4 linked regions of the Nothobranchius furzeri genome follow. The protein of the gene in region 4 interacts with the protein of the main gene of each other region in a biochemical or structural test. Links are inferred from orthologs where the notes say so. Each region holds a gene or a part of one and is shown on either strand. Other genes may lie near its edges. The genes, in order: irf2b, klf13, satb1b and kat2b.

The links.
Region 1: the proteins of kat2b (region 4) and irf2b form a complex in vitro, tested with the Homo sapiens proteins (2 studies listed by BioGRID, with this or other methods). The link is inferred for Nothobranchius furzeri from reciprocal best matches to the Homo sapiens genes KAT2B and IRF2.
Region 2: of the proteins of kat2b (region 4) and klf13, one has a biochemical effect on the other in vitro, tested with the Homo sapiens proteins (2 studies listed by BioGRID, with this or other methods). The link is inferred for Nothobranchius furzeri from reciprocal best matches to the Homo sapiens genes KAT2B and KLF13.
Region 3: of the proteins of kat2b (region 4) and satb1b, one has a biochemical effect on the other in vitro, tested with the Homo sapiens proteins (2 studies listed by BioGRID, with this or other methods). The link is inferred for Nothobranchius furzeri from reciprocal best matches to the Homo sapiens genes KAT2B and SATB1.

What each region holds. Positions count from the first base shown.
Region 1 is NC_091741.1:104,004,076-104,011,860, reverse strand, and holds the start of irf2b (interferon regulatory factor 2), read left to right. Parts: upstream 1-3,703; 5' UTR 3,704-3,942; intron 3,943-7,785. UniProt on the Homo sapiens protein: Specifically binds to the upstream regulatory region of type I IFN and IFN-inducible MHC class I genes (the interferon consensus sequence (ICS)) and represses those genes. Also acts as an activator for several genes including H4 and IL7.
Region 2 is NC_091744.1:67,451,218-67,458,972, forward strand, and holds the start of klf13 (Krueppel-like factor 13), read left to right. Parts: upstream 1-2,991; 5' UTR 2,992-3,197; coding exon 3,198-3,660; intron 3,661-7,755. UniProt on the Homo sapiens protein: Transcription factor that activates expression from GC-rich minimal promoter regions, including genes in the cells of the erythroid lineage. Represses transcription by binding to the BTE site, a GC-rich DNA element, in competition with the activator SP1.
Region 3 is NC_091745.1:63,025,198-63,032,000, forward strand, and holds the end of satb1b (SATB homeobox 1b), read right to left. Parts: coding exon 6,766-6,803; intron 4,860-6,765; coding exon 4,230-4,859; 3' UTR 2,421-4,229; downstream 1-2,420. UniProt on the Homo sapiens protein: Crucial silencing factor contributing to the initiation of X inactivation mediated by Xist RNA that occurs during embryogenesis and in lymphoma.
Region 4 is NC_091759.1:19,554,620-19,562,285, reverse strand, and holds the start of kat2b (histone acetyltransferase KAT2B), read right to left. Parts: upstream 4,609-7,666; 5' UTR 4,477-4,608; coding exon 4,276-4,476; intron 3,367-4,275; coding exon 3,240-3,366; intron 3,160-3,239; coding exon 3,014-3,159; intron 2,925-3,013; coding exon 2,838-2,924; intron 2,754-2,837; coding exon 2,572-2,753; intron 2,494-2,571; coding exon 2,302-2,493; intron 2,204-2,301; coding exon 2,100-2,203; intron 2,007-2,099; coding exon 1,881-2,006; intron 1,771-1,880; coding exon 1,637-1,770; intron 1,560-1,636; coding exon 1,351-1,559; intron 1,274-1,350; coding exon 1,147-1,273; intron 1-1,146. Other genes in the region: rab5aa (RAB5A, member RAS oncogene family, a), read right to left, coding at 6,832-6,947. UniProt on the Homo sapiens protein: Functions as a histone acetyltransferase (HAT) to promote transcriptional activation. Has significant histone acetyltransferase activity with core histones (H3 and H4), and also with nucleosome core particles.

The sequences.
Region 1 (7,785 bases), on a different chromosome or scaffold from region 4:
GACTTCCAGGGTGCCTTTAGTTCCTCGTTTTAAATAAAATATTTAATTTTTTCTTTCAATCTGAGTCTGTCTCCTGATTCTGCATGTCTTGGGTTAGACATTTGCCCCAGAACATGACACACTCAAGTAAAGAGAGGAGTAGAGCTGTCAACAGATCACCACCTGGTGGTGAGCTGGATCAGAGAAGTAATAAAAGCATGTATCAGCGACTCCAAAATGTGTTTGGGACATGGTGGACGTAGAAATGATGATTAAAACATCACTAATGTGACTGACGTAGCGGCAATGTAAAATCTGTAAAAAAAAAAAAAAAGACAAATGTGTTTCTTACGTACGGAAGTCAAAGTGTGCCACATAATCATAAAAATGTCTTTTCCCTTGGATCGAATGATCATTATATTCAAGGGTAGGAAATCCCTGAAGCTGTACAAGCCAAAAGAAACCTGATTAATATGGCTAACGTGCATTTCTCCTGAGTGAGGCCAAGATAAATATCAAAAAATACAATATAAATGATAAGCAATGAAGTTACAGTTTCTAAAGAGCTTTATATATGTATATATAAATTAAAAAATTCCAAATATTATGGACATTTCAAAATAATATGTAAAAATAAGAAGGAACAACTGTAAAAATGATTCATTCCAATATGGCAGCTTGGTGATGTCATAATATGCAAATTAGATGAGTGCATTTGCTCCCAACACAAACTTTGGGTCCTACTGAAGATTTTTCTCATTTACAGCTCACCTTTGCCTCTGACCATTTTCAAGCTACAACCTTTTGAAGTAGTCGTGTCAGAATTCAATATTTTCTTGAAAAATCGGTAAAGAGTTTTATATGTGAGAAGGAGGATCTTAAAATCTATTGCAGCCAATGTAGGGAAGCTAAGATAGGAGAGATATGATCTCTCTTTTTAATTCTCATCTGAACTCTAGCTGCAGCATTTTGGACAAGCTGAAGACTTTTAACTACATTCTGTGGACTTCCTGAGAGTAATGAATTACAGTAATCCAGTCTTGATGTAATAAATGCATGAACTAGTTTTTCAGCATCACTCCTGGAAAGGATGCTTCTAATCTTAGCAATATTCCGAAGGTGGAAAAAGGAAATCCTACAAACCTGTTTAACATGGGATTTGAAAGGTGAGAGCCGAGTCCTGGTAGAAAACCATTCATCTTGTATTCCAGTAACAACTAATTACTGTTTTCAACAATTCATTTATTTACGACAACTTCATGTAAAATCTAAATTTTTTAAATAGTTTTACAGTTGGTGTTTTTTTTTTCCTGTTTTACCTTTCATCACTGTTAAACATACGGTTATTTTCTACAGTGTAGGTTACTTTTTCTGGAAAAAGTAGAGGATTCAGCTGCTCTGCTTCCCTCTGCTGGAATTCTCTTCCCCCTGACCTTTGCACCTCTCACTCTCTCACTCTTTTAAACTAAAACCACCCCTTCAGACAAGCTTTTAACACCTAGTTTACATGTAATTAATTTTCATTTTTCAACATCTTAGTGTTTCTATGGACCCATTGTTTACATCTGGGTAACTGCACACATCCACACTAGCTGGAGAGCAAGAACCCGTCTCCAGCCGTTGTCCAGAGCTGTATCTGTCACGTTGGATAGAGGCTAGGACCCAAAGGCAGTTTACCCAGGAACGGCACACAGACAAAACAAGGTCCTTTTATTTTGGAGTGATGAAGGAAGTCCAACAGGGAGCCAAATCAGGTTCAAGAACTCATAGGAGAAAAAACTAAAAAAGGTAAAAACTGGAGGCATCAAATAACGCTTATAAGGGTTTTATACACCTGTCTCATGCAGCTGATAGCTAACATCCTGTTAAAGGTTTAATCCATGTTTAACTTTGTATTTTCTAAATAAAATGATCTTTATTACAATTCTTGCATTTAGGAAATAAAACACTGAATTAGTGATAAATAATTGCCTCTGCCATTGTAATACAGGACATTTTTATGACTATGTGTTCAGGTTGAACATGTGACCGCTAGAGGGAGCTGGAGACATATTCAGAGAGGGTTTGCAGGCCTTTATGAGTCAGCAGTCTGTTCCTGGAACTGAACCTGTACTTTAACCTAACCCCTAACACACCAGGTCTACAAGTTTATAACAAGAGTTTCTTTTCTCATGTTTGTGTTTCTGCACATCAGTCTTTATTTTTGTGCTGGTGGCTGGGACCTGCCTCCTGATGCTTTTCATCTGGGAGCACCTAATGTTTAAGTTAGGGGTGACAGTGGGTGAGGTTAGGAGTTCACCCTGTAACTGGTGGGTCAATCCCAGGCTTTGTCCGTGTGAATCGTTCTGTCCTTGGGCAAGGAGCTTCACCATCCTCACCTGTTTGTGGTGGTTGGAGGGGTCGGAGGTGGCTGTGTAGGACAGCTGCACTTCTGTTATTGTGTCCCAGAGTAGCTATGGCTGGGATGTAACTCATCATGTGTGTGTGTGTGTGTGTGTGTGTGTGTGTGTGTGTGTAGGTGTGTGTGTGTGTGTGTGTGTGTGTGTGTGTGTGTGTGTGCCTGTGAAATGGGCTGCTTTTTAAATCGCTTTTATATGGGTGGGAAAGGTATGGAATATAGGTTTTATGGGGTCATTGTTATCTGTAAAGCACTTTGAGTTGCTTCTTTGTATGAAAAGTGCCTTATAAATACATTTTTGATTGATTTTTTTGATTGAGAACATACCAACTCTATTCATGCACGAGCAGAACATGGTAACTCCACATATGCATGATGAGAACATGATAACTCTATATTCTTACTTTTTATATTTACTTATCTCTTATTTCTATATTTTATTTTTGCACCAAGTACTTAATGTTGTGATTTCTTGTACATAAGACAATGAAACCTGATTCTGACTCTGGACCTTCTTGCTGAGGGACAATAGGGCTACTTTGCATCAGCTTTCATCAAGTTTCTGTTCCTGTTTTTCCAAGCTGGCTGCTCTTATACGGTGTGATGGTGTTGAAACAGACGTGAGCAAAAATCACAAGTCGTTGAATTTTACTGAAATAAACTTCTGTTTTCATGCTGGAGATTCAGGAGCTTCTATTGTGTGCTTGCTGTCTTTGGTTGTTTTTACTTCTATTCCAGATATTTATAACAAGCAGTTTTATTTTGTACATTGTTTTTCTAAACTTCCTCTTCGTTTGTCAGATAATTGTGTTTTACAGATGTTCTCGTGTATTTTTCATGTAAAACGTATTTTCTGTTAGACGGTGTTTAGGTCCAGAGGGCTGGGGTTAGTTCCGAGTTACACAAGTTTCTTCAGTTTCATCAGGTCGTGAGGAGGGAAAAGGCTGCTTCAGTTTCCTGTCTTAGCTGCTTTCTGACTTTCTGGTTTCGTTTTAGGCAGCAGCTGAGCAGAAAGGAAAGGCAGGGTGGGTATCAGGGAGAAATGAAAATGAAATCCAGCTCAAAGATCGTCAGTGAGCGGCTTAAACCCTTACTGCTGTTGTTTTTATTTACTCATAAGCGCTTCCTTACGCCAGGGTTTTAGCCATCGACATACATATATGGTATTAGCTCGTCTACAACATTCAACGTAAAACAAACTGCAAGGTAATGCTGTTTGCTTCGCTGTGTTTATTCTGTCCACGAGCACACGTTTTTGTTGAAGCGGAGGAAACAAATCAGAGTGAGGCCTCTTTTCGTTTGGCTTTCTCTAGCGGTCGCGCGCACGTTGGCCAAAGATTGTTCGTAGACGCAGCTCGAGCCCGCGAGCTAGAGGGGGATTTCCAGCACGAGCTCCACTCTCACTTCCCGAAGCAACCGTTGTTTTGCTTTCGGTCTGAGAGCACAAACAGAAATAAACATTTCCGTTCGCCGCCTAAACAAGCCTACAACTACTTGTCCAACTTTGGGGGCGCAGACTGTCCGGACAGCGGCTCCTCGAGGCGTCAGGCCGTCTAACTGAGAAGGTAACATCTTTTATTTCCGCCTATTAACCGCTGTTGGCTCGCGCGCACAGCGAGCTGCCTACAGGAGACATGACAGACAGCTGCGCGTGTCAGCGGGAGTCCTGCCGCTGGACTCGCTGTTGTTTTCACTTTTGACTTCATCTGGTTAGTGGGTCCACGCGCGCACGCACACACACACACACACACACACACACACACACACACACACGCTAGTTAATGTTGTCACACACACACTAGTTAATGTTGTCACACACACACTAGTTAATGCTGTCACACACACACATTAGTTAATGCTGTCTCTCTCTCTCACACACACACACACACACACACTAGTTAATGCTGTCACACACACACACACACACACACACACACACACACACACACACACACACACACACACACACACACACAGTTAATGCTGTCACACACACTAGCTGTCACAAACACTAGTTAATGCTGTCACACACACATACACATCAGTTAATGCTGTCTCACACACACACACACACACACACACACACACACACACACACACACTAGTTAATGCTGTCACACACACACATTAGTTAATGCTGTCACACACACACTAGTTAATGCTCTCTCACACACACTAGTTAATGTGTGTCTGTATCATAAAACAATGGCCTTAAATGGCCGAGGTGCTCTTACACATATTTTCTACATGTTTCTAAATATAGTTTTTAATAATTATTGATATTAATAGGAATTTTCTATTGGTGAGCTTTTCGTGCAGCCCTAGCCGTGACACACAGACTTCATGGTGGATCTAAGGTGACATGACCAGGGCGGGAGAGCTGATCGTGTTCCTGTTGCTGTGGATGTTACCCTAAAAGCCACCTGAAGCAGGCTAAAATGCAAAAACTGCCCCTTGACAAAACATGTACAACACCCCGTGGAAGTGCCATGCCGGCCATGTGCCCTCATCCATGATGGTGGGCAGAAGCTGCTTATTTGAGTGGCACAAATAGTCACGGGGAAAGCCCTTATCCTTTAGTAAAGTAATGCAACAAGTTCAAATGCTGCTAAATAATTAGCAGCATTATAGTTTATTTAGGCTTTTTGTGACCTGTGTAACTAGTTGTAAAAAACCTAATTTCATTAAAGCTTTTGGTTTGCTGTATTTTTATGTTGTTTTGCACAGTTACAGTATACATTAGCATTCTATACATTAGCATTCTACACATTAACATTTTATACATTAGCATTTTATACATTAGCATTCTATACTTTGGCATTCCATACATTAGCATTTTATACTTTAGCATTCTATACATTCACATTTTATACATTAGCATTATGTACATTAGCATTTTATACATTAGCATTCTATATATTAGCATTCTAAATTATAAAAACAATTCTTCATAAATGTTTGCAGGTTTCATAGTAAAAAAACTACTAATTTTTCAACACAGATTTCATGGTTTTGTGTGATTTAAGGTCCAAAATGCTATCACATTACTTCCAAAATAAAAAAAAATTATAAACGCAGATAGTCCATGTTGTCCTGAGAAAAACCATGCCTCATCAGGCAAAATTAATAGTTTTTATTAGAACATACAAAGGGATGAATTAGCTTAAAAACGCTTCAGAAGACCAAAGACAGAGGAGGACTGGATCTACCCAACTTTTATTATTATTTCTTAGCCAACAGGCTGCAATATATACCAAGATGGTTGCAAGATAACCCACTAGATGAGTCTTGGTTAGATATAGAACAGACACTTTGCAATACGATAGAGCTTTCAGACTTACCATTTATTAGCTCAAGCATAAGAAAACATGAAGGCTTCAAAAGTATTAGTATCAGCACTTCTCTGACGGCATGGTGGGAGTATCTTAAAATGACAGAGTCTTCACTAGTACCATGCAGACGCACACCTATCTGGAATAATCCTGATATTTTGCAAAATAATAAAATAGTGAACCTTCCGGACTGGAAAAATAAAGGAATCCTATACCTGGAACACATATATGAAGGATTGGACTTCATCCCATTTAATAGAATAATCTCCCAATTTGGAATAGATAAGAATAGCTTTTTAGAATATCACCAAATTAAATCTGTAGTCAAACAAAAATTTAAGCTCAATAAAATAGAATTACAAACACCACCAAGGGTATTAGACTTCTATAATCTCAAACCCCCCAAACTAAATGGTAAAATGGTAAATGGCCTGTATTTGATATAGCGCCTTCTAGAGTCCTATGACCCCCCAAGGCGCTTTACAACAAAATCAGTCATTCACCCATTCACACACACATTCACACACTGGGGGTGATTAGCTACAATGTAGCCACAGCTGCCCTGGGGCGCACTGACAGAGGCGAGGCTGCCGAGCACTGGCGCCACCAGTCCCTCCGACCACCACCAGCAGGCAACGTGGGTTAAGTGTCTTGCCCAAGGACACAACGACAGCGACAGACTGAGCGGGACTCGAACCAGCAACCTTCCGATTACGGGGCGAGCACTTAACTCCTGTGCCACCGTCGCTCCTGTGCCACCGTCGCCCAAACTACTGTCTAAAGCAGGGGTGTCAAACTTGCGGCCCGCGGGCCGGATCCGGACCGCAAGCGGGTTAAATCCGGCCCGCGAGATGGTTGTGTAAACCTTATTTTCATACTTTACAATGTAGAGTGAAAATAAACGTATCTTTGTGAGCAAGTTTTCTCTGTAATGAGTATAAATAAAACAAAGCTGCGCTCAAGGCTCACACAAGAACTTGAGTCACATCCTGAAGTTGGCTGCCACTCAGGATGTGACTTCTGGTATTGATGTGCTGGTGAAAGCTAAAAGATGTAAAGTAAAATGAGTCGAATATACTTTAAGTGCTGCATGAAACTGATCTATCCATGTGATCTGTAAGCTCTTTGAATCACTAAGGAATGTTTTTTTAAATTTGTTGATTTTTTTCTTCTTCAAATTTTCAAGTACACTTCAGGTGTTGTACTTGTACTACACTGTCCTCAGGCTCCAGCCTTGTTTTATATTGATTGTATTAAAACAAAGAAAACAATCTGAAGTTTTTTATTTTATTTACCGGTCCAGCCCACTTGGGACTAGATTTCCCTCAATGTGGCCCCTGAGCTAAATCGAGTTTGACACCCCTGGTCTAAAGTATATAAGACACTGTCCAAAATAGACGATAGAATAGCAATCCCTATTGAAAAATGGGAGGTGGATCTATCAGTCAGCTTTGACCAGAACTTCTGGTCCCAAACTTGTTTAAAAACTTTTAAAATGATCAGACACTCCAATTTACAATTAATTCAGTACAAAATTCTACACAGAGTACACTATACAGATTATCGGATGTTCAAGATGGGGTTTGTGTCATCTGACACCTGTACACACTGCACAAACAACATTCCTGACAATTACATTCATGCACTGTGGTCCTGTCCACCTGTCCAGGAATTTTGGGGTAGAGTGTGTGAAGACCTGTCAAAGTCTCTGAAATGTCATATCCCAACCACCCCCTCTCTTTGTTTACTGGGAAACCTGGACGATGTCCCGATTGAAACATCTTAGGTTCACGTGGTTCTGACTGCCATATGCATCACTAAGAAAACTATCCTCTTGAATTGGAAAAATAGAGAATCTCTCTGCATTAACCAGTATAGAAATCTTTTTTTGGATCATATTACACTTGATTTAGCCTCTGCCTTCACTTCAAATCAATCTCTCTGGGCTCCTTTGATCGGTTCCATCACATAGCGATGATGGGGGACCATTGATATTGTCCTGCGGGATGGTGTGTGTGTGTGTGTGTGTGGGGGGGGGGGGGGTCTGAGTTTGGAGTATCCGGATGTTCCCTGGAG
Region 2 (7,755 bases), on a different chromosome or scaffold from region 4:
GTGTCACTTGTCTCTTGCTGGAGGATAAACCAAGACAGTGTCTGTGGTAGCTGGCTGGATGTCATTTGGCTGAGACCGGAGAGTTGCTCAGAGGAGTGGTTAGAGGCTGGTTTGCTGAATGGCGGTCTCCATCTTTAAAAAATAAGAGCACAAGCTGTTCATTTAGACAAATAATGCTCATTAAAAAATCATAAAGCACTGACAGACATAGAAGTTATTTTTGAACAAATTCAACTTTAAGTTAAATGTGCTCTCATTGGAGCATTTAGCAGACTAGCACTGGTTTCTTTTATTTCACTTTCTTTTCTAAAATGATGCTAAAAAATATTTAAGACTGTTGCAAATCTATGTTCTCTATGCAGACTAAACCTTGGCATCATCAGAGCTTTAAGTAGGAGACCCGTTTTGTTGGCCAGAGGCCTCAGACTGTGCAGATTGTTCCAGAATTGTAACACAGTGTATTTAACAAACCGAGGACGTCTCATCCTTGCAGACAAGACAGGTCGTTTCCCCCTGGAACTGTAATGTTCCTCAGATGTACTTTTGCTTATCTATAATTTTATGAAGAGGAGGAAGAGTCTACCGTAACATTTTGTTGTGCTTCATGACAAACAGGTTTGGTGTGTAATTGGGAAACTGTCATTTGATGTGTTACGTTATTCTCAATCAGACGCCCAATCAGCTGGGAGTTTAACCGTTTTTCTTTTCTAACCCTTTGGTGCATGACGACGCCTGCTTCGGGACACATTCCTATTTTATCACCTGAAAAGTTAATAAAACAGATATAACAGAAATATTTTCCACATCCACCGCCCAAGGCGCTTTACTCATTCATCTTTGGAACAGCTCGACCCTGAACGACTCTCGCAGTCACCAGGCGAGTGACGGGGGACACCCTGGACAGATGTCCAGTCCATCACTGGGACACACAGAAAGCTAAGGGCAATAGAGTCTCTGTTTAAACTAGCATGCATGTTTTTGGTCTGTGGGAGAAAACCGGATTAAAACAAAACACGCACGGCAAGGACACGCTAAAGGCCATGTTCAAAAATGAGACCTTTCTTGCTGCGAGACGACAGCGCTACCAACGACCCCAACACAAACATGTTATCATTTCAGGCTGTTGACTCTCGATGATCCCTGCAGATCTTACTTTGCTGCTGTTTGATCTTGATTCCTTCTAGCTGTGATCAGTTGTTTGATGCCTTAAAAACAACGTTCCTACCGCTCCAGAACAGTGGTTAACAGGATCACTTTTCTTTAGAAAGAAAGCCAGAGACACTTGGTCTAAAGTGGTAAACTTAATGGCTCAATCATCAGAGGTGCTTAAGTTCCTACCACGGTTGTGGTTCTGCTCTCTTCTCCACGCACCTTTTGTCCTCCTGTCTTAGCCTCAAAGCAGCTCCACTCCAGACACCATTTGGTGTTCAGCCGCCACGTCCACCGTGAGCTTCAGACAAATGAAACTTTATTGAATGCTCTCCTGTAACTTTACGACTTCCCGTCACTGTGACGTGGTCCTGGTGTCAACGCCACACAGAACACAGCTGGTTCCTAAAGCTGACCCGACGAGGTCACAGAAGAAAGTTTTGAATCTTGAGACGACCCCCAGAAATAAAACAAAAAGCTGAAAAGTCCTTTTTAGAGAGATTGGAACTTTGTGTGAAAGCAGAGCAAGCAAACAAATATTTTAAATGTGTTCTTTTTTCCGTTAATCCATTAATCTCTGGAAATATCCATCAAAATATTGTTGAAAATGAACGAAGTGGTCCAATCATTGAAAAATATTGGTGGCTTTGTAACAAATAATCATAAAAACTGCATGGGAGATGGGACTAGAAACACCTTCATGTCCGAAGCAAAAAAAACAAAACATTGTTTAATATTTAAAAAGGGGACATAATGAACATTGTAAAGGATTTACTGTAATGTTTGTATTACTAGTGACAGTAATAGCGGTATGATGTAAAACTACCCTAGACGTTTGTACTGCCCCCAGTCGCCAGGAAACTACACACTGTCACTTCAGTATGTGATCTTCTGACTCCTATGTACTGCAGGTAAGACACTGCCTCTGTTTAAGATGGGGAAGGGGGGTGGGGTGGGGGGCGGGGGGTTACATATCTCCAGCTGTCAATGGGCAATCAGGCGGGGTACACCCTGGACAGAGAGCCAGTCCATCGCAGGGCAAAACACACACACACACACACACACACACACCCCTAAGGAAAACTTAGACAGACCAATAAACCTAACAGTCGTGTTTTTGGACTGTGGGAGGAAGTCGGAGAACCCAGAGAGAACCCACGCATGCACAGAACACGCAAGCTCCATGCAGAAAGATCCCAGGCCGGAAGCGGCATGGCAACAGCTCCAACCACTGCGCCGCCTGTTTAAAATCCCAATCCCAACATTAGCTTCTTTATTTTTATGGGATAATTTGGGTCGTGTAGGAAAAAGCCCTGCTGCAGCATGTGTGTAACTCCTCTGTTTACATCCATGAAGCTCCCCCCTCGCACCAAGTTAGCTTTCCTAAACGTTTCTCCAGGATTCAGGACCCCAGCCTGGGTGAAAAACTTCTTCCGAGCGCATGGAGACAAGGCGGCTGAAACTTTCGCGTTGCTCGGTGCACTCAGGGACAAGATGTACCCAATGAATGAGCGGCTGCGCTGCCGGTCGACACGCCCCCAGCATGGATACACTGAGTAGGAACCAGGGCTCCAGAGACGCACTCGCAGACGGTTTGAAGGCGCGATGGGAGTTTACGCATCTAAGTTTCAGGAGTTCCTGTCGGCGTCGCTGCACTGAACAAAGACCTCTCTCTCTCTCTCTCTCTCTCTCTCTCTCTCTCTCTCTCTCTCTCTCTCTCTCTCTCTCTCTCTCTCTCTCTCTCTCTCTCTCTCTCTCTCTCTCTCTCTCTCTCTCTCTCTCTCTCTCTCTCTCTCTCTCTCTCTCTCTCTCTCTCTCTCTCTCTCTCTTACCCCTCCACCCTTTCTCACTCTCCAGCTGAGAGATCATCTCTGCGTTTTTCGTCCGAGGCGTTTCTCGCACAGGATGTTGATGATATACTGGAAAGCCGGGTAAGATCATAAAGTCAGTTCTCTGATGAGAACGACCTCTTCCTCCCCGTCTCTCCAAGGGAACAACAAGTACTTTTCCTCCTGCTTCACCTCCAGCACACCTTTGTTTTTCCTGGAATGCCATTGAGGAGCAGAGGGGGCTGTGTGAAAGATAAAATGGATCACTTTGCAGCAGAGTGCCTTGTTTCTATGTCCAGTCGCGCAGTGGTTCACGCACCGAAAGGTAACAGGGAGATCAAGCCGGAAACCCAATCCTCCTCCTCCAGGAACGGAGAGGACATAAAGGAGGTGATGGATAACTCCTCGCTTTTTGTGGTGGCACGGATCCTGGCGGATTTCAACCAGCAGACTCCCGACGTTGCTGCCGAGCAGGCAGCGAGAATAAAGGATGAGAGAGAGGATGGAAACTCTGCCACACCTACCGCCGGCCCCGATCCTGCGCTCAGACAAAGAGGCAAAAGATCGAGAGGTCGAACTGAGCAGGAATCACCTCAGAAAAAGCACAAATGCCACTATTCTGGTTGTGAAAAAGTTTACGGCAAATCCTCCCACCTCAAAGCCCACCTTAGGACACACACAGGTCAGTTTCTTTGGATGTGACTTGTTTGTTTTTTCTCACGTCTGAGGGAATAAATTAAACCACAGCCTTAAAACCAACAAAAGGAAAGTTGATAACAAAAAGTTAAAAAATTGGTCAATTACTGTATGGTAGGTCAAGGAGCCACCCTAAACGAGCGCGTGATCAGTTATAGTTTTATTTCTAACTTTGTTGTAAAACTTTAGATTGTCCTTTGTTAATTTCGTGGCACGAAAAAGTGGCTCGAATAAATAGTGCCACTCCCACTCATGTCTCAGAGCTTTGCCCCCCCCCCCCCCCGCACACACACACACGCGCGCGCACGCACATCACATCACCGCATTGGACAGCGTGTTCAAAGCCAAAATGTCAATTTGCGCACAAAATTTACGCACAAAAACGTAGTTTTATATCAACAGTCGGTGCACTTTTATTTTGTTTTGTGGCAGCACGTCTGTCTGAACAAAGTGCACCCTACATAACAGAGGAGTGTAAGTGCGTATGGGCATGCAGGAAGTTTGTCCGAAGAGTCAGTGCGCTCAGCTGCATGCTGACCTCTCAGAACCTCCCCAGATCTGCGCTCTGCATTCCGCAGGATAGGATACTGGGGAGGGAGGGAAGGGTGGGGGAGAGATATAGATCGGCTCAAATTGGGGGGTTGATAATAGCTGTGCAGTCGCCTGTCTGCCCAAAGCCCTTTGTTATGATGTGCCACACCCCCGCTAGACAGACTGCCAGCTGATCTGGCCAGCAACAGACTCAGCTAGCTGAGCCTCGACTGAGGAGTCACTGCCTCCCTCTCTCTGATCTGAACATGCACTGCAGCTCTCTCTCTCTCTCTCTCACGCACTCCACACCCACCCTCCCCTCCCACCCTCCCCTCCCTGCACACAGCCACACACGCATCATCCAGCAGCAGCATGAAACACCTTGCATGAGCGTGACCCATATTTGAGTCACGCGCAGCAGAAACGCTGTATGTGCAAGGCGTTTTTACCCATAATCCATTTCTTGTTTTGTTTTCCATCTCTCACCTGCCAATCCAGATAGGAATATTAGGCGTGTCCCTGTAATCTCATTCTACACTCATTAATATTCATAAACAATGCGAATACACCTGGTAAGGCATCATGGAGGGATCAAACTGGAGGATGTTCTCTGAGAGACGCTGATTTCAGTCACATTTTTACTGCATGTGCATCAAAGTGAAGAAAAGACAAGGAAAGGGAAACAATTGGATTTATAACATAATTTGCTAGTTTATTATTTGTTGTCATGCAGCTTTTATAATTAGCCCCAGGCACCATGTTTAAGCCTTTCTTTTCTATGGGATATCCCTACGCCTCAGCCGATTGGTTCCATGACGTGACTGGTGGTTACGCTGCTTGCTGAGAGCCTTTGGCGTGCTCATGCTGTGTGAGTGTACTGGGATTTTATGAGACCACGCCCGCCCTGCCCTTGTCACAGTGCCTATCAAGCGTTTCCTTTCCCCTGCCCCTTGGTTTGGATGTGCTCCGTTTGTCGTCTGGCTCCCCAAATGGGCTGTGTCCTATAAATTGTGTTAATAATGACTGGGCAGGCCCAGAATGTGGGTCAGCTGAGTTCAGCATGGGCTGCCTCAGCCAATCTTGCTGTGCTTTCAGAGTCAAACTCTGGCAGCGTGCTTCCTTTTCAGCCCCTACTAGCAGAATCAAGAGAGAATGGATCCCAGCCTGGTCAGGTCTAGCCAAACTCAGCTCTCTAATTGAAGGGGAAACACTATAGAACACAAACACAGAGTCTGGGACAAAATGTCCCTTCATGACTTCTGTAACATTCGGATTTTCTGCTGCTTTTGTCTGGCAGTTACTCCTAAATGTGAACTTGGTAACTGGGATTTCCTCAGAAAACCTCTCTGTCACTTAATGTTTATTTCCAAAGTTTAATACAAAGTCATTTTTATAAAGTAAAACAAAAGGACGTCCATGCTTCTACTTAAAAAAACATGTCTGATCTTGCCCCCACCCACCTATCAGAGTTCAACAGGGACACGGGACTACACACTGCATTTAAATCACTCATTATACTGCACTGAGGTTGGATGCTGGTGGATCCACAGCAGTTTAGGGGTCTAAGGTTACCAGGCAGCCTTTGTCTGCTGCTCTAGGGTAGGAGGTGGAGCTCAGATGCTATAACTATGTAAAAAAATGAGGGGACTAATGGCAGATTTCATGAATCACAAACAAATACTTGCTGTCAGTTCACAAAAGTCTTGCTTTTCTCTCAGGGAACAGACAGGGCTCTTCTTCCTTATGGGTTGTTTGCACAGAACCCTCCCCCCCAAAAAAGAAAATTCTTAGAAAAGCTCATCTTGCCAGCATACAATACCCAAAATCTACTAGTCACATACATAGAGGGGGTGTGGTCAATAACAAAGAGCCTAATGACATATTTTACAGTTGGCTTGATGTTTTGTTTGAATCTCTTTTGTGGTGCCTCTGATTTAGATAGCTTTACTGTCTTAAAAAAAGAAGGGGCACCACCTGGCAGCACAGTCCCAGCACCGTGAAAGCTCAGTTGTTCGCTCGTTCTACCTATTTTCAGTCAAATAACTGTGGTTAGGGGCCTTTTCAAAATGTAGAGTTACCCCAATTCCACATGGAAAACACAGCAGGAGTCTCATTATATATGCTCCATCCCTGCCAGTGGTTTATATTTGGCTGCAGTGAAACACAAGCATGCACAGTGGTCCTGTGTGGCCGATGGGAATGATGAGGTAGCAGGGTGGAGATGGGGTTTTTCCTGCTTAAATCTAACCCTGGCAAAGGTATGGGTCACGAGGTACACTGGTGCAAAAGAGTTCAAACGCCCCACAACAGGATTTTCACCACTGCTCTCAGTACAATCACAAATCTCCTGGTGTGACCATTAATCTGTGAGCTTCACTAGTTGAATAAAATCAGCAAATTTGGTATAATCTGACCACGACCCACTGACAGAGCTTAGTTGGGGGCGGAGTCAATGGTTGTCTTTCATATTGTGTCTGCAGACAGTTGGACAGCGTTCGGACCAATCAGAGCAATGCACAATGTGATGTATATGTAGCAACATAAATCAGTCAGCGGGGCAGCCTGCCATGCACAGACCTAGGCACATCTATCTGATCACGTCTCAAAGAAAAGTAGAAGAACGAATCGTCCAAAGTTGATGCCAAAGTCAATTCAAACGAGTGCTGTTTTTAAGCTGCCATCTTTGTTGTTTTGCTCCATTGCAGCTTTGCCGTGTTGAAGATATGCCCACCTAATGTCTCTACAAATATAGAGTGCTGTGATTTGCCCAGCCGAAGCTTAGCTAGGCCAATGGTAGCCCTGTTGAGACTAAAGGAGCGCGGCTAGACCACCTGCAGAGCACAACCTTTTTGCTACTTCTACGGTTTGTCTAGATTTTTATGAACTTCATTCTTTGCGAGTTGTAATGCACATGTATGATGCTGGGCTTTCTCCACTTGTGAAACAACAACGAAAATCATCTGGTTGGTTCAGAAAACCCGAGTTCACTGGGTGTGCCCAATACAACAAAGGTATTAGTTCAATCCACGTGATCCACATGGTGAAAATAAAGCCAGAGTCAAGCCACCATCTTGCCCATTAATCCTCTGTTGCAGTGTTACAGTCCTGTAGAAGACATCTTTAAGACGTGTGCGGGTGCACATGCCGGCCATATGTTGTCCTGCCTGCATTGACGCCAGGACAGTTTCTCGTTAATATCAGAGCACAAGCCTGACGCGACTATAATTTAGCAGTCAGGCATGCACAGCAGACAATCATAACAGTGAATGGCCTCGGTCAGACAGCGCCCAGCCTGGACTGTTTTTCAGTGACCCACAGGGCTCATGTATTCTTTAGTTAGTGCTATAAAAGCTGCTCTGTCTACTTCCCTGCCTGCCCCTCCCACCTCTTTCCTGCCTGCAAAGCAAAGCAGACGCTGAAGCGTGTTGCTTTGCAAGGCCCACTCTGGCCACGTCTCATGGTGTGGGGTTGATTACAAGCATACAGGAAGAGCTGAATGCAAACCTGTGGAACCCTGCGTCTTCTTCTTCGCCTCCAATGCTCAAAGCCC
Region 3 (6,803 bases), on a different chromosome or scaffold from region 4:
CCTCCCCCCCATGTCGGTTCAGGTTTAATCTAGTCTCCTGAAACCTGGGAGGCAAAGAGCGGCCGTGATTAAAGTTATTAATTTCCACACTTCTAACCTTCTGCTTCTTCACATAAAACAGGAGCTTTTCTTTCCTGATGGTTCTGTGCAAGAAAAACACACGCGGAGACAAGTTCCCAGTTTATGTTGCGGCGATCCCTCGGAGATTGACATCATTAAAATAACTTTATTAGGCTTTCTGCTGCATTTCCTGTTTGATTTACTGTGCAGTCCCAAGGGCTCATGGGTAGGCACAGAGGACTCCGCGGCGCGAGCCAGACCTGCCGATGTTGTGCTGCAGCAACCTGAGCGTAACGTCCTTATTAATCTGGAGACACACACGGCAAAGATGGTGCCCAAAATAATGGCTGCAGCCAGAGATTAAAATATAAAACATCAAGTGACTCCAGGAATTCACCGCATTTAATCTGGTCTCAGTCTGGTCATAAATGGAATAATTGTCACAGAAAATGCACAAAAAACAGAAAGTTTTCCTAAAGTTTCATTAGCTGAGTCCTTGCTGTTTGTTCTAAACCTGCTAATTTAAGTTTAAACTTTTGTTTGCATCATGTTAGAAAGCAGAAAGTCAATTTTGAGCACCTGAAATCATCTTTTTTTCATTCATGTTGCAACAATGCAGAGCTCGTTACTCGAGTCTTTTCCAACAAGCTACAAAGACTCCTGGAGCTCTACTGGTGATCGAAGGATGTGCAGGATGGAAAAATCCTGCGAGTTTGTGACTTAGTTTGAACCACGACATGCACAAAAAGAACAGGATTTGTCATGAAAGCAGCTTGTTACACCTTTAATATTTATTTGTTCTGTTTCCAAGTGATGCTCATCAGGCTGTTCATCTTGGAGAAAACATGAATCATCTTTCTCTAAACTGTGACTCTCCCAGCCTCCATCTTTAAATAAGGTCTTTGTTCTGAACTAAAACAGATGCACGGTTGCATTCTGCTCATATGAAGCCCAAACTCCTTGTTGACTTTTGATTGACGTCTTCTGGAGGACTCTCGCAGAGAATGTGTTCAACAGAGCATGAATGATCTTTAAATGTGTCCATGCTGCAGATGTGCATCCTCAGTGTGGCACAAAACCAAATTATTGGAACAACTCTCGTTCACCGACTGTTCTGTTTCACAGTTTTTAACTACCAACCTTATTTTTAAACTTTTCTTTCACCAGAGTGACTTAAACGTTTTAGATCTTTGATCTAAACCTGGAACCAGAGCTTCATTCAGAGTGTTGTTTACGGAGGTGGTGCTTTCATAAAAGTGCTTCAGAGATGTATTTCCAGTGTGTGGACTCCATGTTTACTGGTAGATTTATTTATACACATCGTAAGGAATTTATTATGTTGATGTTTGTACTTATTCAGCAACTTTTAGGACCTTTTTTTTTGACAAAGCATAAAAAGTTTAAAGACAAAAGGCAAACGTTAAAAAAAAAGAAAAAAGAGGTTGCAACACTACATGTCCATCACAGGTTTTATTTTTTTTTTCCCAAAATTTTTAACTTTTATTTTGAAAATTAGCTTTATGAAGATAAAATAAACAATTAAACTAATTGTTTCCCTTTATGCATTAAGATTTAGAATGACATCGGTTTCTCCTCCTCGCTTTTTTTGGAGCTCAAACATGCATTTGGACGATGGAAGTGTGTGCAGAGCTCCAGCCCAGCTTCACCACACGTGCGTCAGCTGCAACGTCCATGTGGAGGATGGCTTATTTGCTCCCAGATCTGTTTAAGTATCTGTCTGGCGTGGCCTAATAATGTAAAGACCATATAAAAATAAGCAACTGATTCCTGAGTTGACTCACCACTAAACGTGTGAGGAGATATCTGATGTGAAGAGATGCAGAGAAACTTAAAGCCAGTTTAGGACACAAAATCACCTGTTCTGGTGTATTTTTCTCTTCCTGCACCAGGTACATCTGTCCTATGGAAGTATTGGTGCTCCAGAAGGTTTTTGCTGAGACAAATGAGGCTGATCCTCGTGAAAATGGTGATAATGATACAATCCTGAAGCTGCTGATGTTCGTTGGCACCTCTGTCAGTCAGCCATTTTAATGCAAAAAGAAGAAAAATCAGGAAATAATGAAGCGTAATGGTGCTTCTTTACTTCACGACATCTTGTTTTCACCCCTTAATGTGCTTCGTGTCCCCAGATCATCACCTCTGGCAAAAGAGGGAAGAACATCCTGAGTGTTTGACAATTCTGAATCTTTTTTTTTTCCCATCTATTTGTGTTTCAATGAGCAAAACATGAAAAGAACCCAGACCGCTTGTCTGGATGTTCACAGGTGAGGTAATTTCCTCACCTGGAGTTCACCGTCAGGTCAGGACACCTGTGCTGCAAGAGGGCTTCTCCATTTCTCCATTCCAGGTGTTCACACCTCAGCTTTTATTGATTTGAGATTTCACAGGTGTTTCAGATACACTCAGCAGTAAGAAGAGCCCAGGTACAGTCGCTCTGAGAAGAGGAGGCACAACAGAGCGCAGGATTCAGCTCCCCGCCGTGAGCTCTCACACAAACTTCAAACCTATTTACAATCATAAACAATCGGCGGTTGATAGGATGTGATATTTACAGTTATTGTTACAAACATGTCCGGGTCAGCCGGCGTCTCTCAGCCGCAGAAACAGCTCACATCATCTCAGCTCCGCTTGGTAAAAACCCCTCTGAGGGCAAAAGAGTCCGCTCGAGGAATCAGTGTCACCATACAAACGGTTTAATCGTGTCATTAACAATCACTTCTAGTTAGAACATCTCTGCAGAGAGGAACCGAGGAACACATAGAAAACAGTCAGTCGTAACAAAATAACGGGTGTTCTCGTCTGAATCAACGCTTAAAAAAACTTTTTGTACAGGATTGTTATTTTTTCTCTTATTTTTTTTTTTTTTACAGGAGGAGCTTTTAGAGTTGGATCTCGAACCAAAGGAAGACACATGGCAGACATGGATTTTCACACAGATTGCATATGTTCTCTTCTCTCTAAGGTGTTCCATAGGTTAGTCATCTCACCTAAGCTTATTTGCATGATAGTAAAAGTTGCATACGACAATAATTGTGAAGCTTGTAGCACGATTTGCTCGACATACAGCACTTTATAGGCGACCTTTAAAGCACATTTCTCCACTGAAGACGTTTAAGACACTTTTTGCTTCCACTGCCAGTGTTAAATCACATTTATAAATAGAAAAAAATGGCAGAATTTAGAAAAAAAAGAGGAAAAACTGTGATAAACTTTTAAAATAAACTGTAATTACATCAGAAACACAGCAAATAAATAATGTCAGACAACATAAACATAGTTTAATTCACATTGTTTTAACTGTGTGGCGAGTCAGAGTTACAGTGACAAAGGTTTTGCAAAATAATCTAACATCGGCAGTGCCGTATTGTACAAGGCATTTGTTGGCATAGTTTCTTTAAGACTGTACTTTTTTACAGTTACAATATAATGTCTATATATATTTATATTATATATCTTCCCTAACAAATGATAAGCAACGGTTCGGCTGTTCTCGGGTGATTGCGTTCCCGAGTTTGGAGTGATTTCTAATCACACGATGCTCTTTTTAAAAGAATGACTCCTCCTCCAGCAGGCTGCAGACGTCACACCTCACAATTAAGGCCTTTACAACCACTTGGTCCTCGATTTCATTTGATATTAACAAAAATGAAAATTCCAGTTAAAACATTACATACACCTATCAAATTCTTAGTAAACTCCAGGGGGTCTTTTTGATTTTTTTTTCTTTTTAATATAATCTGTAGCTCAAAAAGATAGTCAGTGTAAAACAACAGACATCGAGTGCAGCCAGCAAATATCCACGGTGACGTACTTTACAATAATGTTTTTGTGCAGATTATTAAAACGATGCATCGGTTTTTACAGTGAATATTACAAGTTTTACAAAATCCAAAAAGTAGTACATGAGATGGGTTTTCAGTGTGTGTGTGTGTGTGTGTGTGTGTGTGTGTCACTTCACAGAGCCTGTAACTTTAATTTATACATAAACACTTCCCGTTCAGTCCCGACGCTGCGTGCACAGACAACGCTGCTTGTCTGCTTTTCCAGCTCGCCGGGTCGTGTCGTTCAGAGCGTTCGGATTCAGCACGGTCATCAGTCTGAGTGTGCGGGTCAGAACTCTGAGTCCAGGATCGGAGGGAGCCGGATTTCTACTCTTTGACCTCATGCTCCGACTCGTGGTGGGTCTCGGCGCCTCGGCCCAGCTGCTCCTCGATCTTGATGGAGAAGATGGTGCTGTTGGTCTGCGTGCTCTCGTCCAACTCCTTCAGCAGCTCTCCGCTCTCCCTGAAGTCTGTCAGCTCCTCCTCGAAGGCCGGGCTGCTCCTGCTGCTGCTGCTGCTGCTGGTGTTCACCGCTGTGCTGTTGTTGCTGCCGCTGCTGTTGTTGTTGTTGGGCTCCTTGGGCGCCTTGGTTGGGTGGCTGATGTAAAAGCGCTGGTTCTGGAAGAACTTGATGATGGTGAGCTTGGGTAAGTCCAGTTGGGCGGACAAGGTGTGGATGGCCTCCTCGTCTGGGTAGAGGCCCACATCCTGGATGAAGCTCTGCAGGATGCCCAGCGCCTCCAGGGAGATCTTCCCTCCGCTGCTGCGGGACTTGATGCTCCCTCCGCGGCTGCCCTCGTCTTCCGTCTCGGCCGGGGAGGCGGTGGAGGGTTGGCGGGGAGGCAGCCTGGGGCCGGTGAGGGGCTGCTGCTGCTGCAGGGGCTGCTGGGACAAAAGGGGCTGGGAAGGATGGAGGGACAGGGAGGGCTGGTGCTGCTGCAGCTGAGTCGACTGAGACTGAATTTGAGAAAAAAAAAAAACAAGAACAAAAAGAAGGTAAGGGTGTTACCAATCTGAACCATAAACAGGTTTGTTATAAAAGTTGAAAAGAATTATTCGTGAACAGCCTCAGTTCATAGAAATAGGGTTTACAGCCCCAGGACTGATGAGCTAATGGCTAGTCTGACACCTTAAAACAGATACTTCAAACAAATGTGGTGATTTCATCTGCAAAGATAAGCAGGAGCAGGAGGAAGGACATTTGATGTGCCCAGAGGTCAAAGGTCATTAGGGATTATTGTATTTATTTTTTATTTCTGCAAGAACATTTGTGTAATTCAAGGTGCAAGTCAAAACAGTTTTAAGGCGGCAGCCACTAGCTCACCAGTCCTGAGGAATTCAAACACTATTTCTTTGAACAGAGGCTGTTCAGGAGCGTTATTTAACAGCAAATATTTATAACATTAACCCAGAGGCAAAACAATTGAAACATCCCGTTAAAATCAGAAGATCTACGATGAAACACGTTTCCCTTCTACATGACTGAATGTTATCAGTTTCACAGAAACTTTTTTCCTTTCTCTCCGGTTCAGACGTGAAGTGAGATTGTGTTTTTATTGTTGGGGCTGAAAGCGAACTGCAACGACACCAGCACAACAACAAAAAGTGGGAATTCTCAGGAAAACTGGCTTCTCCATTATGTCCTCTGCAGCTTATCAGGCTCGGCTGCCAGGCAGCGATAAACAAGCTCCCCGTGCACAAATCCACTTAGCGATGGTCTGGCTGATTAGCTGCGGCGTGAGAATGCTATCGATGGCTTCCACTTTGCCGTCAGAGTCCCGTTAGTGTAAACACATGACGCATTACTCGTAAAACGTCTCATTGTGTGGCTGGAGAGGGAGCGAGTGGGCAACTCGTGGTCCCTGTTGACCCTGCAAAAATGGCTGCTCTTTCATTTCCATGTCTGAGTCAGACGCTGTGGATAGGTGTTTCATAATCAAGTTTGCAAAACAGCACTTTGCAGGGACTCTGCCTGCCAGCTGCATAAATGCACCCAAAGATGCAGTTTTACTGGACCAACATACCACTGCTCTTGTTGAGCCAGAGTGGGCTGATTTGGCTGACGTGTGGCATTATGAAAGAGCACTGCTCTTTGTGGACAGAGCAGAACTGCTCTATTTAGTCAGAAATAGCCCAAACCCTAACCCTTCTATCTACAACCAGTTCTGTTTGCAAGCGAAGGTCTGCACGTTTCCAGCTCTGCAGCAGGAGCGGGTTTGTAAGTGAAACCGTGCTTCTACCCGGTGAACGAGTCTCTGTGAAACACCGGCTGTGTCTCTGAGAAACCAAATAACAACTCAGCCAGTCAGCTGTGGCACGGACTTTTAATAGGAGTATTATTGTACTTCATTAAGATGTTTCCACCGTTAACTGAGCCTTTGTGTTATTTGCAATTCATACGCCAGATGTCTGGTAGAAAGCAGCTCTGTTAAATAAGTTCAGCCTAATGATATCTTTGAAAACAGCTTTTGCTGAAAAGTAGGAAGTTTGAAGTGCTGCTGTGGCTCTAATTTACAGGCGTTCATTAAAACTCTTAAGTGGTGTTTATTTATTTTCCTGGGTTATTAGTCAAATGCACATAAAGGGACAAAAAACGTGTTTTTCACTTATTTGTTTTAGTCTGAGACATTTAGGATTTGGTAAGTAGATTATTCAGTTATCAAGAGAGTCTGGTGCTGGATCTCGTGTGTGTCGTGGAAAAAATTCTACTAAAGAGCTGATTATTTTCTCTCCCGTCAGATGAGTCATTTACCAAACAAATGTCGATAAAATGTGGAAAAACTCCTTAAAACTTGTTTGTGTGAATTTAATTAGTGAGATGTTCGGTTTAGCTGTGGATCAGCTGACGACGTTCCTCGCTCACCTGAAGCTGCTCGGTGGACAGGTGTATAAGGTGCGACG
Region 4 (7,666 bases):
GGAGATACGTCATCGGGAGCCGCCAAGACGTGTTCCAATGTTCATGTTCTACCGAGGCGTGCATTCTCCGTTTGTTAGCCGTTTAGCTAGCTGAGCAAGGATACACGGGAGGTGTCTTGTAGCCTAGCCTTGGTCAAAAATTACCCACAATACACCGCAGTATTTTCAAAAGGACTGTGGATCAGAAGCCGGCAGCTACTTCGGGGACAATTTTCAAGTTTAAAAGTAAGACAACAAAATGTTTTTTTTTTTTTAGATCCAAAGAAGTTATCTATGGTTGTTAGTTGCTTAGTAGTTGCAGATTCGGTGGCTAACGGGTAGTAACTCGCTTATATATTTAATTAAACAAATATACACAATTTAAAAAGTAAAAGGCTCGTTATATATTTATATTGAAACTAATACGTATAAAATATAACGTTATCTCCTGTGTCACGGGATGTTACGTGACCGCTGTGGAAGCCGCGGTCACGTGATGCAAGTCTGTTCCATTTTAACCGTTTTCTTTGACCAAGGAAGGACCGTGTCCTCGTAAGCAAGGCGCCTGGCCTCGCAAGGCCAGGTGCCTTGACACTGAAACACCCATGGTCGCTCTCAAAACATCCCTTCTTGTGTTTATATGTGTTTGACTTGCTCTCAAATGGACTCTTCTCCTCTTTAACCCATAAATGTTCAGCTCCTTCCGTCTGTGCTCCTAAAACCCGCTCGCAGATTTTTTTCTGACCTCTTGGATCGACGCTTGATTCTGGCAAACGTTCTCCTGAATGAGAATTCAGATATGATGCTGGTCAACAAGCTTGTCCCTGAAGACTCCTGCTGGCCCTGCACACTCCAAACCCATGTATTTTCTTCCACTGTCAATGGTGGGTGCACCAACTGAGTATGTTGATGAAAGGAGCATACCCAGAAGATCATTGGTCAGCATTTAATCTGACTTTCTATTGTCCCAAATCATCTCGTTTCAACCCAAGAGCACAGGAAGGTTGTACTCCATCTGTGGCTTTTTGTCAGACTCCAGAAAGACCTTGAATAGGCAGCAGAAAGAGATGGGAAACACTCTGGAGCAACCGGTGACTCCACCCCCTAACCACGGACGTTCGCCGAACCGAGCAGGTGCAAACCAGGAACAGAAACAAAGCTGCTCACCTTGACCTGCTCGTTGGAGGTGACGGCACAAAAGACGATCTCCGTGAAGCCCTGCGACGGAAACATCCGGAAGCAGATTCCTCCGATGACTCGACCGTCTTTGATCAACGACAGCGTCTTGTGCTTCCTGCAGGAAAACAAGACGGGTCTACTCACCATGCCTTTTCTACATCTCTGGACACGAATGAAGTTGGGGAAACTCACGGGTCGAACACCAGCCGTGTGATGTACTCCTTGGGCATGCGGGGAAGCTGGTGGGAGAAGACGTTCTGAAGGCCGACTAGCCACATCAAGATCCTCTTGTTGGGTTTCTGACTGAGAGAGTTCCCAATGACGTGGAATTCGATCACCCCTCTCCTCTCCTCAAGGCGTGCAGCTTCGTCCCGTGCAGAATGAGCAGACAGAAGGCTGGTCTGGGCAGTAAAGGAGGTGGAGGAGGCGTGAGCTACTTTCTACAACGAGAGTTTCTGGCTTCACATCAACAGGTTACCTCTGGAATAGCGACGGGGTCGGTGATGGTCGCCATGACTTCGTTAATGAGGTCCATCGGGATGTCCCCGAGAATCCTGGGTCTCTTGTTTTCTTCGTGGTGAAGTGGTTCTGATGCTTTACGCTTTTCTCCAACTTTAAACACAATTTAATCTTCAAAATCATCATTCGCCTCTTTTATAATCGCTCACGATAAAATAGACATGAAGTTTTATCGGATCACGGTGCAATCACAGTTTTAATACCTGGGTTTGACTCCAGAGCCGAGGCGGGTTTCCTGGCAGGACTGACGCTACCACAGGTGGACGGGTCCACCGACACAGGACTGGTGCTGTAGTGTATTGGCCGGACTACTGGGGGAGCACTGATCACTACACGGGGAATTTTAAACAAAAGTTTTTTTTACAAAGCGAAGAAAAATTCCAACTTGCGTACAGGTGTGTGTGTGTGAGGGTGTGTTTTACCTGTGTGGATGGGAATCTGTCCTCCTGCAGCTCCTACAAGGAAGTCTTGGCTCCAGATCGGGGAGCTGTGGCTGTAGACCTCCTCCTCCAGCATCGACAAGAACCTGAGCAAAGAAAACCACATTTTTTTTAAGTGCTGTGCTTTTAAAATGTTGAGTTTGTGTCATTTCTCTGTGTGAACACGTGTGTGTGTGTGTCGTACTTGGGAAAGTGTGTGAGAATGAGAGTGCGTTTCTCTGGGGGGAGCTTGTCCTTCTCCTGTCTGGCCTGCTCCAGCAGCTGCTTCCTCATCACGGTGAACACGGAGCGTAATAGCGTCCTGCCAAAGATCTGGGTGGTTTCGTAGCGGGGCAGGCTGTCGCAGAACTGAGGCGCGTTGCAGTAACACAACCATCTACACACAGAAATGGTTTACATAAAACTACGAGAGAATCCAGGAAAGCAGGTCAAAGGGAACTCTGCTCAGTCCCACCGTGTGTAGTTAGCTTTATATCCTGCTGCATCGTCATTGGGCACCCGCTGGCGTCTCTGAGAGGGCGTCTCCAGCTGCCAGTAGTTGATCTGGTTCAGAAACATCTTAGCCAGCTCCATGATGGTTTGACGTTCTTTTGATGGCAGATGGCTGAATTTGTACTGGACAAAATTGTTCACTCCCTTTTAGGTACACAAGCAGAAATAAAGAGAAAAATCAGTCGGCGTCAATGAAAATGTGTTTTTCCTTCCAAACTCTTACTTCACCTGCTCGATGCTGGGCTTTTCAAACGGAGGAGTCTCCTGTGCCTCCAACATGGGCTTCCCCATCTGTAGGATGGACTTCCTCAACAGCTAAAAGGTCAAATGGAAATTAGTAGCTTACTTGATCACAATGCAGAGGTTATACGTGATAAAATATTAACAATAAAGCTGGAAATTACTTTAAAGAGGGAAAAGTAGACTTGTTTAGTGTCCGCGTCCTCTTCTTTGTGGACACATGTGTACAAATACTCCACATCCAGGACAATTCCTAGAAGTCTGTTCATTTCCTCCTCAGAAACATGTTCAAGATGAGTCACATGATCACCTGGGGGAAAATAAAGATATTATAAATCTGAGTGATAACTTTTACCAAGAGGGATTGTTGGGTTCGACAAGCACACAAACCCAAAGTGTGCGAGCAGCTCCGGCAGGGCTCCTGCAGATTGACCGTGTTGGTCTGCTGGTCCGTTTGAGGAGGTGTAGGAGGGGGGTTCTGACTCTTCCAGCCATTACACTTGCACGGTCCTTCGGCCTGTCGGAACAGAGTGGAAAATAAACAAACAAAACAGCTATAATCACCACGGTCAGCTGAAATCCAACGTTTTTCCTGGTCTTTGAACGCATCATCTTTGAATAATATGTTACATGTGAAAATGTTTTGATTTCCGAATCATTTTAAAGTTAATCAGAATTTTAAACAATTAGAATGTGATGAATTAGGTATTTGGGCATCTGAATCAGTAGAAATAAGTTAAAACTGAAGACAATAAAAAACACCCTCAATTTTTGGCTTAATTAGTCGGACTAGCTCAAACCCAAAAGGAGCCTTGTGTCCTAGAAAAACAAACAAAGTAGGGGGGGCCTGTCACTGCTGCGCATGCGCACTGAAACAATAACAAACTCCGCCCCCTCCAGCAGCTGTCATCCTGTCAAAACAAAGACACCGACCCTCTGCGGATCGTACGCCGCACAAGCCCCATAAATGCCTCCGTAGGCTCACCGCCGAGCTCCAGCAGAAGGTCTGGAGGCTGTGGGACCTTCTGGTGAGGGTAGGAGACACACGCGCACGAGCTCGGCTCCTGTTCCCACAGCCAGCGACTCCCGAGCCGCTCCGAGCCAATGTTTACGTTCACCAACCACCCACCTTGACAGAAACAGCACCACTAAAAATACCAGAGAGCGTCCAGCAAAAAGGCCCCGGCCGAAGAGTTCGGCTGCTAGAAATACACGTTATCCTAAACATCTTCGTTTATTTTTTTCAGAAAACTGTGCCGTTCATGCAATTATTTTTTTTAAAAAGGGGGAAAAAAAACTGAAGTGCGGCAATGGCTTCCTTTGCTGCGCTGCATTATGAAAACTTGCAACCAAAACCAACCGTTAATTTGGATTAAACACACAAAACGCGTATTTTCACAGTTCCCCGCGTGCAAATCACGCCTACTTTGCAAGACGAATACACTCCGAGTTTTTCCAGTTTCTTCGGCCGAGGTGACGAGTGGAGTTGCGCCTTCTTCGCTGCGATACGTGCGGATCCTCCAGCGGCGCCGGAGCCCTCCGTGCCCCCGGCTCCAGGAGCCGCCGGAACCAGGCCCGCGGCTCCAATGGCCGGCGAACCTTGCTGAATCCCCGCGGTGTCGGCCATGATTCACCCCGAAACCCGCAGCGAGCGCAGGCCCGGGAAACGATGGCTCCGCCGTCCGCGCTATTCCACAAGCGGAGGATCAGACATGGCGCTCATCCTTATTTTCAATTTCTCACAGCGGTGCCATTTTCCTCCGCTAGGGGCGCCCACGGGACCACAACTGAGTGGAGAGGTCACAAAATCCAGCCAATTGGAGCCAAAATTCAAGGTCAAATCTAGAGAAAATCATGTTGACTGGAACCTTTTTAAAGTTATACTATAAAACTACCAACTATCAACAATTTTACATGGGAACAGTAAACGTATTGCACCATAAAATAACAAATCAGCAGCATAATCCTCCTACATCACAAAATATCCTTAAAGAAGAGAAAAAATACCAAAAACACACAGACTGCCAGATTACAATGATGAATGCTCAAATTTATTTCAGTATTTATTTGGTCATTACATAATAGTTCTGTAAAATGCTTCAGTTTAAATGTCTTCCTGCAAAGAAGTCTTAAAACCAAAAGTGATCCAAGTCACAGATGTTCTGTTGTTCCTGTAACGCTGTTAACAGATTTTTAAACAGACCAATATGTAGATTTTTAAATCAGTTTATATCTCCTAAAACCCGGGAGGAGGACATTTTAGACACAAGGCATTAAAAATAAAAAGGAGGATGAAACCAGGAAGTTTGGGTGTAACAGATTTCTTTTTGAGAAAATAATATGAGGCAGACATCTAAATAAATGCAATGTTTTTTTTGTTAATATTACTACACATATTTATAAAGACCACCACGGATTATGACTTAACCATTTGTGTGTTGGGGGGAAAACTCCAAACCCAGATTGTTGCTGTTTTCCTGCTAACTGTACATGGTTTTTAACCTTCTATTGATTATCCCTAGCAAGCATTAGTCCCGTCACTGGGAAAACAAAAATAAAAAGGTAGACTACACTGCAACACCGTATTTACAGTATATTATTTATATATTTATATTATGTATATATTTATAACACACTGACTGAGATTATAACATAAATTCATGAGCATTATTAGTGCAAGGCATGAGAACGATAGAAAAAGGTTTGGACTAAAGGCTCTCTCTCTCTCTGTGTGTGTGTGTGTGTGTGTGTGTGTGTGTGTGTGTGTGTGTGTGTGTGTGTGTGTGTGTGTGTGTGTGTGTGTGTGTGTGTGTGTGTGTGTGTGTGTGTGTGTGTGTGTGTGTGTGTGTGTGTGTGTTAGAGAGAACATGACAAACACATTAAGTGTGGCTAACGTGTAACAGTATATTCTTCAGCTGACCTACAGTGATGCAGAAGTTTGGACAGGAAAAAAATCAAAAGTTTGAAAGGAAGAAGTCATGTGTTTCATTGTGCAAATGTGTACACACACACACACACACACACACACACACACACACACACACACACACACACACACACACGCACGCACGCACGCACGCACACACACACACACAGTTAGAACAGTTGTGTCTAAAGCACTTTCTAAATAAAAGGACGAGTCACTCTCACCCCACATTCTGTGCAAAACTACCCGCAGCCGCCCGGCAACACCGACCCGATGGAGAGGACGGCTGCAGAAGTCATCCAACGCCAGAAAAAAAGAATCCAGGTTGGATCAGAATGGGACGGTTTACGGAAGGACTCGTGGACGGTCACCACTGATGTGAGACGGGACGTTGTTCTCTGCAGATACTCAAACTAGCGAGTAATACTGCAGAACATTGCACAATTACACTTGACAATTACGAGCAGGCACAGCCCCAGAACGAAACCTACAGACGGGAGGAGCAAACTGCGCTAACCTTTAACAGGAAGTGAGGACATTAAGAGGGATTGCAGAAATTCCAAAAGACTTCATTTCCCCTAACGGACGTTTTGTGCTACTGCAAACCAACCTTAAAGTTTTTTATTTTTATTTTAGCCCACTTAAATATACAAGGAAATGTGTCCAGAACAGAATCCTAGCAAACAATATTAATCCAAAAGAAGCAGTAGTAAAGTCTCCAGGGGGAGGAAGTGAAACTCGGATTTACACGCTGGAGCGAAGGTGGATCTGTCGTTTCTGCCACCACGGATATGAATGTGTCAGGGAGTAAGACAGAGTGGTTGGGAGGCTTCACCTGGTGGCAGCAGAACCGCAACAGAAGACAAGAGGCAGAACTACGAAGGAACGCCAGTGGCGCTGGTCCGCCACTGCAAGAAAACGGAGAGAATGGGAACGGCGGGCGTCTTCCCGCTTTTAACGATGAGTGACACGTTGCATTAGTAGCTGCAGTGGCACCTGGGGCATGGACCACATTAGTTACTGGTCTACAGGTCAGAGAAAGGTGTGTTCTTCGTGTTAGTTGGAGCAGCACGGGGCTTTGGCCGGCTGGGCGGGTTCCGTCAGGTCCACTCCTCGGCTTCGCGCGGCGGTGGCTCCTGGAGCTTGGGGCTCACTTTTTGGCAATCTCTTTGCTAGAAGGAGAAACACATGCAATATTAGTATAAACAGCTAGATTTAATTTTTAGTGATTGAATTTGAAAAGGCCCGTTTCCACTATCGGAACTTGTAGGAAACTTTACCGGATCTTTACGGAATGTGCATGCCTCTATTTCACCGAAGCAAACTCAAAAGACCCCTTTCCGGGCCATATCAGGCACCAAACGAGTACCCGAACTGAGGTATGTACTCGTAAAGGCCCAGTAGAGTCGCTGGGCGTGGCTTGTGGTTAACTCATGCTGATTGGTGGTAACTCAGTGGGAAATTATATTAGTAGGCGTCGCCAAACAACTATACCGAATGGAAGGAAAAGAAACTAAGCAGCGCTGATGCTGAACTTTAAACACCAAAAAAAACACCAAGAATCCTCGAACAATGCTGTAGTTTACGCTACTCTGTGGTCTCTAATGGTGGGTAGTAAAAAAAAAAAAAAAACTTTCATTTTGGACACTGAACGCCGCTTTTTACTCGACACATTCCCGCTCTTAACGCATCCCCTAAACGGCATTAAAAATGTCGTACAATGACCGAATAAAACGTCTTTAATGTTGTGTGGTTGTGACGCTCATTGCCAAAATGGTCGCGATATGCTAACGTCTTAGCAAAGTCCTGAAAGGGCCCATATTGTGAGGAGACACATTTACAAAGTACATCAGTAGAACTATCGCCTTATACCGACTTATGTCGTTTTAGT